2 linked regions of the Stegostoma tigrinum genome follow. The protein of the gene in region 1 purifies or fractionates together with the protein of each later gene. This does not show direct contact. Links are inferred from orthologs where the notes say so. Each region holds a gene or a part of one and is shown in the gene's direction. Other genes may lie near its edges.

Evidence for each region. The genes of interacting proteins can lie anywhere in the genome.
Region 2: the proteins of cAMP-dependent protein kinase type I-alpha regulatory subunit (region 1) and plk1 purify together in Homo sapiens (affinity purification with mass spectrometry; 4 studies listed by BioGRID and IntAct, with this or other methods). This does not show direct contact. The link is inferred for Stegostoma tigrinum from reciprocal best matches to the Homo sapiens genes PRKAR1A and PLK1.

What each region holds. Positions count from the first base shown.
Region 1 is NC_081375.1:22,779,359-22,786,731, forward strand, and holds the start of cAMP-dependent protein kinase type I-alpha regulatory subunit, read left to right. Parts: upstream 1-4,353; 5' UTR 4,354-4,555; intron 4,556-4,643; 5' UTR 4,644-4,672; coding exon 4,673-4,843; intron 4,844-7,373. UniProt on the Homo sapiens protein: Regulatory subunit of the cAMP-dependent protein kinases involved in cAMP signaling in cells.
Region 2 is NC_081376.1:22,425,755-22,432,793, forward strand, and holds the start of plk1 (serine/threonine-protein kinase PLK1), read left to right. Parts: upstream 1-4,028; 5' UTR 4,029-4,198; coding exon 4,199-4,567; intron 4,568-5,316; coding exon 5,317-5,485; intron 5,486-7,039. UniProt on the Homo sapiens protein: Serine/threonine-protein kinase that performs several important functions throughout M phase of the cell cycle, including the regulation of centrosome maturation and spindle assembly, the removal of cohesins from chromosome arms, the inactivation of anaphase-promoting complex/cyclosome (APC/C) inhibitors, and the regulation of mitotic exit and cytokinesis.

The sequences.
Region 1 (7,373 bases):
CATAATTAGCTATTTCAGACATGGGGAGGGCAGAGCCTTTATTTAAACATGAAGATCTGAACTTAAAGTTGCAGGCTATTTGTCATAGACAAGTATGATTGAATGGCACTTGGTGTGAGATATTTTGGTATACAGTATTATTTGAACTTGGAAGTGCTATACTTTGGCAATGAGAAATGAGGAGCTAAGTGGAGTGTTTGGTGATTTCACTTAGTGTTGGAAATCATGAGTGGCCATGCAAGATGTTTGGTGATCATTACCTTGGCAAGGTGGCCTAAGGAGGAACTTATTAGCTTATCTAGTGAAATTCCTTCATGCAGACTATTGTTCGTGTCACATCTGATTCACTGTGAACCACACTCTTCAAAAATCTGGTCCTGCCCAAAAGGAAACACTGCAGTAAAATCTGATGCAAAAACAGCAATTACTGGAGAAACTCAGAAAGTCTGGCAGCATTTGTGGAGAGAAAGCTTTTTCACCACAGATACTACCAAAACAACTGGGTTTCTTCAGCAATTTCTGTTTTTGTTTCAGCTGTTCAGCATCTGCAGATCTTTCTTTTAATTTTGTAGATGACGCATACTGATTTAACTTGTTTTGTGTACCTCGGAACAGTGCTCCGGTATGATCAATGTATTCATTTCCAAGTATTACTGTTTTTTTTAATGTGTTTTTCTCTCTCTGGGTCAACGACGCAATGGAGGAATGTGTCATGCCAACTCAGCAGTGAGCTGGCTGGGCTAGGAGCGGTAGGTGTGGACTCAGGACCTGAATAAGCTTGTCCCAAAGGTCCTGTAAATTGGGCAAATTTGTTAAATATTTAGAAAGACAGAACAATCGCATTCAAAAAAAAACTTAATGTCATATAGAACCAGTTTATATTCCTAAGGGATATGAAGCTCAAATGGCAAAAGACAACATAAAACTGAAAGAAAACTAAAGACAGGAATGCAAAAAAAAATCATGTTGATTGGAAGAGCTTTTAGGAATAGCAAAGAGTGGCAAAATCAATTGTAAAATTTACAAAATACTGTATGAAAAGAAATTTGCAAGGGATACCAAAACAGCATTGAAAACAAAAAATGCTGGAGATCACAGCGGGTCAGGTAGCATCCATGGTGAGAGCAAGCCAACGTTTTGTGTCGAGATGACTTTTCTGCAGAGTTGATGTGAAGGGTGGACAGGACAGCATCTATGCATTAGGTGGGGGGAAGGGGACGATGTGGAGTGCTGGGGGAAGAAAGGGTGCTGATAATCCAGATTAAGTGATCTGAATGTGAGAATGGCAGATTGAAGTTGTCTCTTGCTGGCAGACTGGAAAAACAAACAGTCCACTGGAGTCGGGGGATGGGAGAGAGGACATGGTCACAAATAATGTAAAATTAAAAGAATTAAAGGAATGGAAGTGGGTTCTCAATCTGAAAGAGTGTGAAGAGGGATGAACACAGTAGGCCAAGCAGCATCTCAGGAGCACAAAAACTGACGTTTCGGGCCTAGACCCTTCATCAGAGAAGGTGTTTAACTCAATACTAAGTCCAAAACATTGTAAAGCCTGGCAGTTAGACACACCATTGTTCAGCCATTCTCACATTCCAACCACTTAATTTGTACTATCAATACCCTTTCTTCCTCAGCACTGCAAACACCATCCCACAAACATTGCATAAATGCTGCTCCCTTCACACTTCACAGCAGCTCTGCTGAAGGGTCATCTAGATGCGAAACATTAGTTTGCTGTCTCCCCATGTATGCTGCCTGATCTGCTGTGATCTCCAGCATTTTTTGTTTTCAGTATAGATTCCAGCACCTGCAGTAATTTACTCCTACCAAAACCAGCACTTTTTAAAATCATTTGCGTTATGAGAAAGACAGTGTAAGTAAAATAACAGTAATGAAGAAAATAATAGATCAAATAAAATAATGAAATAACTCCACAGCTATCAGTATCCCATCACTAAGTCATCTTTTAATTACACATGGAGAACCCTTGAGACAGATCCAGATTCCTCAGAATTTGCCCTGAGTGAATAGGATGTCTGATATTCAGGTTCTTATCTGTCAGCTACGCCTCTCTGATTGGACCAGATTAACAGCCCGATCAGAGAAGTCATATTCTATAAGGACCAGCTGGCTGATTACAATCACTACACCAGATAATTTCTATCCCAGGGTTTTAAATGAAATTCTTATCTAGTATTTTGAAGAGTAGGTGCTGACATGATGGACTGAATGCCTGCTTTCAGCGCTTTAACAATTCTCTGATTCTGTGAAGTAGGTGAGGACATTGCAAATGCCCCACCAACAGTTTTCTAAAATTCTCTCAATTTTGGGCCCCACACCTCAGGAAGGACATACTGGCACTGGAGCGTGTCCAGCGGAGATTCACACGGATGATCCCTGGAATGGTAGGTTTAACGTAATGATGAACAGCTGAGGATCCTGGGATTGTATTCATTAGAATTTAGAAGGTTGAGGGGAGATCTAATAGAAACTTATAAGATAGTGTATGGCTTAGAAAGGGTGGACGCTGGGAAGTTGTTTCCGTTAGATGGGGAGACTAGGACCCATGGGTACAGCCTTAGAACTAGAGGGGGTAAATTTAAAACGGAAATGAGGAGACATTTCTTCAGCCAGAGAGTGATGGGCCTGTGGAATTCATTGCCATGGAGCGCAGTGGAGGCTGGGATGTTAAATGTCTTCAAGGCAGAGATTGATAAATTCTTGATCTCACAAGGAATTAAGGGCTACGGGGGGAATGCAGGGAAGTGGAGTTGAAATGCCCATCAGCCGTGATTAAATGGCAGAGTGGACTCGATGGGCTGAATGGCCTTACTTCCACTCCTATGTCTTATGGTCTTCAATTTCTGCTTCTTTAGATCAATGCTTACCAATCTTTCTTTTCCTGTGATCTCTTTTTTTATGTCCTGAATGTTTTTGCGACTCCTTAGGAAGAACTATTGGAACTGGAGCACATGTGTACAGTTGTCATAACTTGGTCAGAACTCCACAACTGTCTTTCTGCATTGGAGTTCATGATCCCAATATTTCAGCTTGTAAACCGCTTTAGGATGTCCTATTTTTGGACTGTAAAATTAGATTTATGAGAGGGAAACCAGGGAACTATAGGTCAGTTAGCCTAAATACATTGGCTCAAAATTACTTGTCAGCTGTTAAGGATGATGACTGAACACCTTCAAAATTTTCAGCTGATTGACCACAGCAGCATGGCTTTATAATGGATATATTATGCTTGATGATCTAGTAATTTATGAAGAGGTGACTAATTCATTGGATGTGAAATATCTATTGAAAGAAAATGTCAATGTATGTTAATTTTTGATATGGATATCTAGAAATCATTTCCCAAAGGACCGTTCGGGTTAAGCCTGTACTCTTTGCAATGTAGAAGAATGAGTGGCAACCTTATTAAAATTTACAAGATTCTTAGGGGACTTGACAGTATAGGTCCAGGAAGGTTGTTTGCCCCGAGACAGTCGAGAACAAGAGCATTTAACCTCAGAATAAGGGGTCACACATTTAAAACATAGATGACGAAGAATTTCTTCTCTGAGTGTAATGATTCAGTGGAATTCTTTACTGTAGAGGCCATTGAGGCTGGGTCATTAAGTATATTCAAGGCTGAGATAGCGTTTTAATTAGTAAGAGTGTCAAGTGTTATAGGGGAAAAGGCAGAAAACTGGAGTTCAGGATTATGAGATCAGTCATCACCGAACTGACAGAGCTGACTTGGGCTGAATGAACTTGTGTTCCTACACCTTGTTATGCTATGACTGATTGAAATTTTCAAGATATTACAGTGAAGAAAGAAAGACTTTCTATGGTCGGAAAGTGTCGCATCGGGGGCTTCAACTGAAAACGAATCTGACCTTTCAGGACTGCGAGAGATGGGAGAAGTCTCTTCCTCGCAAGTGACAACTGTTGCTCCTTTATTTGTTAGTTTAAAATCTGAGCCTGACACGTTTTTGTTAATCGACTGTGTGGGTTGAAGGTGGGCATTTGAAGAATCCAGTGACATATCCGCCGTGATGTCCTTGAATGGTGTACAAGAGTGGCTCAAGGGCCTACGCTTGCTTAAATACCTACGCGGTGCGTGTGTCAGTTTATCCCCAACCTCGTGAAATTTGTAAACAGTGAGAGACGTGCAGGGGTAGCAGCACGTTGGTTCTGTGAGGGTACAGAGTGAATGCTTGAGTGCAGCGTGTAAACATGGAATGTGCGCGTTACAAGTGTGGTGTCCCGTGTATGTGCATACAACACACTGCACATACCATTTCCACAGGCCTGTGGTTTCCGCCTCCCCTCCCCCACCGCGGCTGAGAGCGAGGCGCATTGACGTCAGCGGCGCGGCTGCCTTCCGGTGGAGGTGACAGTGACTGAGGAAACTCGTCCTGCCGCAGTCGCTTTCTAACAGGCCCCTGTTCCTACGGATAAACTTGTTCAGCCTGTCGCCCCTAGGATCGGTGGGGGGGGGGGCGGAAAAGACAGGCCCATCGCCCTCCCGCTCCGACTGTCGACTTCGTTTTCTGTGGGGTGGGTAGGTTAGAGGAAGGGGGTGGATTGGAGGAGTAGGCGGCGAGTGGTCTCTCGGCGCCGAGTTAACTCGCTGTCGATCATTCCTCCAGGCTTCTGAAGCGTTAACTGGGTGGCTAAGATGGCGGCCGCGGGGAGCGGGGAAGAAGAGCGCAGCCTGCGAGAGTGTGAGCAGTATGTCCACAAGCACAACATCCAGCAGGTCCTCAAGGACTGCATCGTTCAGCTCTGCATCGCCAGGCCCGAGAAACCCATCACCTACCTCAGGGAATACTTCGAGAAACTCGAGAAAGTGAGTTGAGAGGGCAGCAGGTTTCATTTTCTCAAAGGAAAGGAGAGAGTAGCCTTGTTTATTTTGTTTGGGGCGTGTGGTGGTTGACGATTAAAGGACAGTTTGACTTTTTTTGCTTCGTGTATGATCAAGCTTCTGTAGTTGGTTGATGGCGAACGTGGCAGGCCGACGTTTTAGTGCTGACCTAGAAAAGAGTTTTGTTCGTGTTTGGTGCATATGTTATTAAGCAGTTAACGGACCAGAGACAAAAGCAAAGCCAAGCAGAATGTAAGCACTTGTTAAGATATTATCAGTGAGTCCTTTGATTGTTAACAACATTCTCGGTTTCATGAAGGTGAGTACCCGCGCGCTGAAAAAGATTAATGTAAAAAGTCTTTTTCGGACAGAGAAATCACCTGTTTAGCTTGGTGCAAAAGTATTGGACATTCAAGGTAATCAGTTTCCTATAGTCTATGCTCATGGCTGCAGTTTTGCTCCAAATACTAGTGACACTCGAGGGCCATTGGTGACTGCAACATTGACGTCAGAACGCTTTAGGTAAATCGTGGGTTGCTAGAAATGTGAAATCACTTTGCATCATCTTGTGATTTCCCAGAATTTGAATGAAGTAATTAGATGTATTCACATTCTTTTGTCTATCCAGTAAATTTCTTCCTGTCTTTTCTGTTCTCTCTTCCCTCCCTCTTTCCCCCCCACTAAAATGCACATAGTGTGGCCTCCAAGGTTTCCATTTAATTTCGGATCTATATATTGCCCCTTGTCATCTGATTATGACTGAATAAAGATTGCATGAGTAATAGTAAATTGTACTTAATTCATAATTCTTCACTAACAAGAGAATGATATTACTTCAGTGATGCGAAGTGTTGTTATTCACCGAAAGCAATATTTCACTCTGTAATCTTTCTACCACCTATAAGGCATAAATCAGGAGCTGTATGGAATACTCTGCATGTCGATATGAATGTGCCTGTTAAAACACTTGGAGCTCAATGATGCACAAAACATCCCATCATCGTTGTAAACATTCACCACTCTAAATCGTGCTTTGTTCTGACTTGGATGTATACCAGTCTGTCTTCATCACTGAGTCAAAATCCTGAAACTTGGTACTATGGCTGTATCATTATCATATGGACTACGTTGGTTTTTCTTTAAAGATGGCATAAGCACTTTGGCTGTGGGTGGCAGAGCTTTGCATACTTTGTGAAAATACTTTGTTTCTTCAAAAGTAGGGAAGGAAGTAATAATCAAATAAGTGGGTTCTTTTATATATTTTGTGCACAATGTTATCAGCAATGTTTCTGCAAGAATTAAAGCTTTGTGAAGGGAATGAAATTCTGAAGCCTCTTAAAAAGTGACCCAGTATAATTTCAGACATGTAGAAAAATCTGTTAAATATTACTGGCCAGTAAAATTCGCTTGTTTAAAATATCATCATTTCAGTTGATAGGGAAGTACATAATTTGTATTTTTTTACTTTGGGTTCTGGACAAAATCAAACACGTTTGACAATTGATACATGACTTGTAACCTGTGTAGTGTGATTGTCATGTATAGAATATTGAGCTGCTTTTAGCAAAAGTTCGGATTACATTAGTTTTAACATTGCTTAGTCATTTACCTGTTTTACGATTGAACTAGATGTCACTTGGTGGATAGATGAAGATTGATTAAATTGACAATGATTTGTTTATAAATCTAATTAAAAACAGTGCCACTTCTGACTAGTTGTTTTTCTTTCAAGAACAGTTTGTTTGCAGATAGGTTAGCTGATTATAAAGTAGGTCAAATTTGTTAAAAATGCTGGGAGTTATTAGAATTGATGAACAAAGTTAGCATGACAAAATAATTTTAAATTACTTAAAATTTTAGATTTAAAATTTTGGGGAATTCTAAAGGAATAAACATTCAATTCAAAATTGAACAAAATCATTGGGGAATCTTCAGAAATTCCCATTTTTAGTATGTAGCCAGCAGCACCAACTAGGAGTGGGGTTCAGTATTAAGGGCATTATAATGTATTACTGAGGTTGGCTTAGTATATCCTGATAATTTTTGAACACTATAGCTCCAAAGGACATGATTGTAGCAAAAGGGGCAGTGAAGCTGATTTCTCAAGAATTGAATTGAGTCAAGAGGGAGGCTTTAATACTTTTTATTTGTACCAGCAAAAGAGTGTTTATTTTTGGCATATTGCTTTTTAAAAAAAATAACATTTTGACTGGTGCTAAAGATTTGAGAGACTGAGAAAGATAAGCCAAGGCAAACATTTAAAAACTGAATTACTTCAGAATGACACTGAACTGGAAGTTTGCAAAATAAGTTGTTGCAGAGGAGTAATTCTTGTACTTGACATCCATTGCTAATTGGAAGACAAATCCCAAGTATAGATATGTTTTTTTAAAAATGTGCTCATAGAATGTGGGTGTCATTTGTAAGTTAATGCTTATTGGCCATCTATAAATACTCTTTTTAGAAAGTCATGATGAACTGCCTTCTTGAACCATTATAGTCCATTCACAGTAGG
Region 2 (7,039 bases), on another chromosome or scaffold:
CTCAAAGGATAGGTGGGGGAAAGATGTACAATCTATAATAGGCTGTAAACACTCAATCCAGCAAGCTTTAGAATCACAACTTTACAACACAGAAGTAGGCTATTCAGCTCACTGTGTCAGTGACAATTCTCTACAAAAGCAGTTCCATTTTTCCAATTATCCTGCTGCTTCTTTTTTCATTCTCAAATATTTACGTATTTTTCAACTAACTATGAAAGAAATATTTGTATTACATTGAGAAAGTCGCTGCAGTAGAAGCACGAAGTTTGAATATTTTTTTTTTCTTGACCTTGTCTCCCAACGGCTATTCTGTTTAACCTCAGTTACTGCTGCTGGTGCCAGTGGAAATTTTTAAAAGATAGGCTGCTTGAGTGTGCTATTCTGGCTGTTTTGGAATCCTTTCCATTGTGAGTATTTACCAAGGCTTAGTTGTATTCTTGGTTGACAAGGGAGTCTTCCCAGTGTGATGACTGTGCAGCATGACCAGGCCACAGTTGGAGTAGTCTTACATCTTGCCGTGTTTCATATGCTCCCTCAGTGAGCCAAGAGAACCACCCAGAGGATAAGGGGAATTGAGCAGGCCAAATCTTAAGTAATGATCTTTTATACTACCTTTTACTACAGTAAAATCTCAAAACACTTCAGTAACTGAATCTAAGTTGACAACAAGGACATAAAGTATTGAACTAGATGGCTCAAAACCTACTTTTAACAACTTTTTGTGGAAATTAAAAAAGTTTGGGGAGAGATTTCAGGAGTTGGGGTCCACACTGTTGGTAGGTGATAAGTTTAGACAATGTGTAGGAAGCCATAGCTGAAGGAGTGTAGGGTTCGATAATATGGCAAACTACAATTCTGAAACAATGTAAAATAAAATATTTTGCTTTTGAATGCAATAACTTGCTGTGTTGAAAACTACATGTAAGCTGTAAGTGTAGTTGATATTTACTAGTGATGACCATGACACTTTGTTTTTCTTCAAGTAATGGCATGCAAGTGTAAATATTTGCTTCAGTTAATTACATTATCTGAAAAATGGCACTTCTGACAGTATACTGCTCTGTTTATATTGCACCTTTGATCATTATTCAATGAATAGCTCATTATTTTATTCTCTCCTATTCAGTTTTTCTTGTTCTTTCACATAATGCAGCATTTTGCTGGCTTGACCAGATTTTTTTTGCCATCCCAAATTGCACTTGGAAAGGTGGTGGTGAGTTGCTACATCTATGTGGTGTGGCTACCCAGAGTGTTTTTCAGGACCCTTTTGGTACCAACTAATTTCTCGGAGCCAATAAATCAAACAGTACTGACTTAAAGATGTTCCAGTCTGTGTGTTAAATTGATCTGAGTGGCTCTGTGTGGGCTATCTGTTGGGTTTTTTTGTTTTTTGTTTTTTTTTGGCAAAATTTGCCTCAGACTGAGTGGCAGCCAGACAGGTTAGAGAAACAACCTAACCTGTATCCTAAGAGATCTTTAATGAGCAAAGGAAACTGAAGTTGATCTTGCATGATCCTAACCTGCCTTACCCATTCTGTGCAGTAAGCATTACCTTAACATGCTGTATCCTCAGTAAGGATCAAAACACCATCTTAGTATGCCCCATTCTTGGTACAGACCAAACTGTCACCTGCCTTCAGGATGTAAGAAATACGGGTAGAGTAGGCCGTTAGTCCCCTCAAGCCTGCTGTGTCTCTCAGGAAGATTATTGGTTGTCTAATATAGACATATCTTCACTCTGCTGCCCCTCTCCCATAATTTTTGATCCCTTGTCAACCAACGATCTAACTAAGCCTTGAAAAATACTCGTTGGGGAGAGGATTCCAAATGTTAACAGCATTGAAATAAATTATATTATCTTACTTCTGCGTTAAATAGGTGAGCCCTTGTTTTGAAACGACACACTTAGGAAACATTATTTCAGCTTCTACCTTGCAATGTTCCTGTAGTGTTAGAAGTTTCAAAAAGATGTGTCTCATTCTTCAAAACTATAATGCATTCAAACCAACTTACACAGTCTCTCCTCATGACAAGTTCCTTTAGACCAGAAATTAGCCAAGTGAATCTTCTCTGAACTGCCTCCAAAGCGATAGTGTCCCTGCTTAAATAAAATGACCAAAACTGAGCATAACGGAGTGGTAACAACCTAATGGCATTAGCCCTAGACTATTAACCCAGAGAGACAGATGATGTTTTGAGGAACTGGGTTAGAATCTTGCCATGGTAGATCGTGCAAATTGAAATTAATAAAAATCCAGAATTGAGAGTCAATTGATGACTATGTCACTGTTTTGGCAAAACCGATTTGGGCTAATATGCTTTAGGAAAGGAAACTGCCATCCTTACTTAGTATGGCCCATGTGACTCCAGGCTCACAGCAATGTGATTGATTTTTTAACTGTCTCTTGGGGATGGGCAATAAATGTTGCCCTAACCAGCAATACCCACATCCCATTTTTTAACGTACTTACATTGATATCATACCTTTGATAAGATGACAAAGGACAGTTAAGAATGGAACAATTAAAATCAAGCCATTCCTCAGCCTACCTTAGATGAATACAGGTCTGTTGGAGAGTTACGGGATTGGCAGAGATTATAAAGATGGGCTGAACAATGCAATTGAGGATCTGTAAATAAAGATAAGATTTCTTTTAATTTAATGCTTTACTGGACCAGAAAATAGTTTAGGTCAGCAAAGACAAGGTATTAGCTAAACAGACTTGTTGCAATTAAGGACACAAACAGCAGAGATTTTGGTGAATTTAAGTTGTTGCAAGGGTAGAATGTGGGAGGCCAACCAAAAGTATGCAGGAATTGTTGAATCTAGAGGTAATGAAGGCGTGAATAAGGGTTTCAGAGGTCAAAAATTCCAAGGCTCAGACATGAGCGGGAAGAGGAATTGGGGGCAGGGAGCAAATAAAACAGATTGAGGAAAGATTGTGAAAATGTTTGAAAGTCCCATGTGGGCAAATCCAAACCCAGGCTACTCTGCCACTTAGACAAACTGTATCTCGGTTTTGAAATTATAAATTAATTTAGTATTGATTGCTAGATGTAGAAGAGAGTTTTGCTACTACCTTTAATGTGAGAAGTATTTCCTAATGTAATTTCTGAAAGTCTGCCTCCAAGTTTTCTTTCTATGCCACCAGTCCTAGAGTCTCAAACTTGCTAATCAGTTTTTCCTATTAATGTGTTTAAAACTAATACAATCAACTTTTAATTTCTACGTTTGAGTTTTTGTGTCCCCAATATTTAATAGGAGGAAATTTCTACCTGTACTTTACTGGATGTCAGTTATGGAATTTGACAAATTGGAAATACAGGAATCAACAAAGTGCTAGCAACTTAGAGCTGGACATCGTCAGCATTAGTAAGTAACCCTGTTTTCTGAAGATGCTGCTAAAAGAGAACATGTAGGCAAGAAGGGGGTGTAAATAGATTTTTGAGGGTCATCAGAGCTAATCGTGTGGAAGTGGAAGGATGCATGTAACTCACAATAGTTAGGAAAAGAACCAGGTGAATCCCAGAATGTCCGCTTGAGAGAGTAGACAGGGTTTCTATTTAAAATCGCATCTGTAAAACAGCATCTCTGTCAATGTCAGTCTGGATTATAGCTCCAGAGCCTCTAAGGTGGAGTGCACAAGCACCCGATTTAAGGCATTTAATCTAATTTTATTTTGTTTAAGGCTCTCAGGCAAGGATGTTCCCAACTGAGCAGTAACTTTGGAAGTCCTACACCCAATCAATGCCTTCAGAAGCCTGGGGCAGACTGAGATGCTTGGGTAGCTTTGAGAACGTGGAGGGATTGGGGTGGGGGTCGCAGCTCGAATCCCAGCCCTTTCCTTCCGTTGCTCAGAAACGAACCGACAGGTTGGGGGTGTCGGCTGTGATTGGTGGAAGGTGCTGTCATTCAGCGTAGTCACCAAGCAGCCGGCACGGTGCATTTAAACCGTTCTTTCCCGGCATTCAGCCGGGCCCTCGGGTTCTATTTAAATACAATTGGCCAATCAGGAGCGGCGCACGGCTTGCTAACTGTCGACGCTCCAGATTTGAATCAGAGCCCCCGAGCATCTGGCCTGGGACGGACACGGTTTGCAGCGACTTTTTAACCAGACTCGGAGAAGACCCTGCTCAACTTCGATTTGGCACTCCATTCTCCCCATTCCCCCTGTCTGCACTGTGAACCGGTCAAATAATGACCACGGTGGCCGGTAAACCGTCCGCCAAGCCGGGGTCTGCGGCCCCGTCGGTCGTCGCTCCGGTGGCCAAGGAGATCCCCGACATCCTGGTGAACCCCAAGACCATGAAGAGGTACGTGCGGGGCCGTTTCTTGGGCAAAGGGGGGTTCGCCAAGTGTTACGAGATCTCCGACATGGACACCAACGAGGTGTTCGCCGGGAAGATCGTGCCCAAGACGCTGCTGATGAAGCCGCACCAGAGGGAGAAGATGTCCATGGAGATCTCCATACACAAGAGCCTCAATCACGCCAACGTGGTGGGCTTCCACGGCTTCTTCGAGGACGATGACTTCGTCTACGTTGTCCTGGAGCTATGCAGGCGGAGGGTGAGTGCCTCGGGTTGAGGAGTGGGGGGGAGAATTGACGGGAGCTGCTGGCACCGGTTTATACTGACCGCCGCGTCCCCCACCCCCTCTCTTCCCCCCGGGATCGACGGTTGTAAGCGGAGGAAGGGAAGAGCTGCGGGACAAAGGATCCCGGTGAATGGAGCCGAGTCGGAGCGTTCTCCCATTGGAACCAACTGTAACAATTTGGGGCTGGGGGAGGGTCTCACCCATAAGTGGCACCGATCAGGTGGGGGAACTGGACACTGTCAGACCGGGTACAGCAGCTCAGGGCCCTGGGCCTGGGCAGCGCTCAGCCTGTCCGTTCTCTTCCCCCCCCCCCCCCCCATCCAGGTTGAAGGGCTGCCCGCTGCTGTCTTTTTTAGTTGAAATGGGGTTTGTATTTAAAATTGCGGCAGCTCGGAGCCGGTTGGCTGGCGGGTGCCTCGTATTAAAGAAGGCGGAGCTTCGGCCTTGCGAGCCAGAAGGAGCAGCCCCTGGTTGGTCTGATCCTGTTTCGTGCTATTCCCATCTCCACTCCTCACTCTGTTTAATTCCTCAAATGGTTCGGTAAAGCCACAGTTGCTACCCTAAGTCTAGCTGGTGATTCTCCTCTCCTCTGTCAGCTGGCACTGCCTTGTGTTACTGATCGGCTGCGGCCAAAAGTTCAATACTGTTTTTTTCTTTAATTTTGTTTATAAAGTGAACTGGTTTTCTTTTAATACCGATCACAAGTTAATTGTCACATTCAGTCTTTACTAGAATTGCACAAGAGGCGGAAGGCTGTCACTGAGCCCGAGGCCCGGTATTACCTGAAGCAAGTCATCCTGGGCAGCCAATATCTGCACGATAACAACGTTATTCATCGAGATCTCAAGCTTGGCAATCTTTTCCTCAATGATGATATGGAAGTGAAAATAGGTAAAGCATGATAAGAGATAATGGGAACTGCAGATGCTGGAGAATCCAAGATAACAAAGTGTGGAGCTGGATGAACACAGCAGGCCAAGCAGCATCTCAGGAGCGCAAAAGCTGACGTTTCGTGCCTAGAACCTTGAAGGGTCTAGGCACGAAACGTCAGCTTTTGTGCTCCTGAGATGCTGCTTGGCCTGCTGTGTTCATTGTTAAATAGGTAAAGCATTGCAGTCGGTTGTCGATAGTCTTTAGCCAGTTCATGAAGCCAACAGTCACTTAGTCATAGAGCTGTACAGCACGGAAGCAGACCGTTCGGTCCAACCCAGCCATGCCAACCAGATATCGTAAATAGGTCTAGTCCCATTTGGCAATATCTCTCTAAACCCTTCCTATTCATACACCCAACCAGATGCCTTTGAAATGCTGTAATTATGACGGCCTCCACTACTACTGCTGGCAGCTCATTCCATACACACATCACCTTCTGTGTGGAAAAAAAGTTGCCCCATAGGTCCCTTTTTAAATCTTTCCCCTCTCACCATAAACCTATGCCTTCCAATCTAGGACTCCTATACCTTGCGGGGGGGAAGACCTTGGCGATTCACTATATCTGTGCCCCTCATGATTTTATAAATCTCCTATAAGGTCATTCCTCAGGTTCCAATGTCCAGGTTGGGGGATGAAAACTCCAGTCCATTCAGCCTCTTCCTCTAGCTCAAACCCTCTGAACCCAACAACATTCTTGTAAATCTTTTCTGAACGATCCCTTTCCTCTATCACGGAGACCAGTATTCCAACAGTGGCCTCACCAATATCCTGTACAGCCGCAACATGACCTTCCCAACTCCGATATTCATTGCACTGACTGATAAGGCAAGTGTACCAAACTCTACCTTCGCTACCTGGTTTACCTGCAACTCCACCTTCTATGCTATGAGCCTTCAACCCAAGGCCTCTCTGTTTGGCAATACTCTCAAAAGGGCTTTACCATTAGGTGTACAACTGACCTGCCCTGATTTGCCTTACCAGCACCAGCACCTCACATTTATTTATCCAAATTAAACCTCTACTGCAACTCCTCAGCTGATCTGATGGAGACACTTAGTTTTGCAACAGAAGTGCATCGTATGAAACTAGAATCCCTACAGTGAGGAAATGGGCCATTTGACCCAACAGGTCCACACTGACCCTTCAGAAAGTATCCCACCCAAAGCCATTTGCCTACCCTATCCCTGTAACCCTGCATTTCCCCCGTGCATGTTAGGTAGTTTGACCATCTTTGGACTGTGGGCGGAAACCAGAGCACGCAGAGGAAACTTGCACAGACACTGGGCGAATGTGCAAACTCCACACAGACTGAAAGTGGCATTGAACCCAGGCCCCTGGTGCTGTGAGGAAGCAGAGCTGACCACTGAGCTACTATGCTGCCCTGTGCGTCTTCATTTTAACAGAAGATGAATAGAGAAGTTGAGCAGTTAAACGCTAGCTTAATTTTTCTAGATTATTGTATCCCATTCCTGACTATAAAACTCAAGAGCTGGCCCAAACCTCCCTGGATTT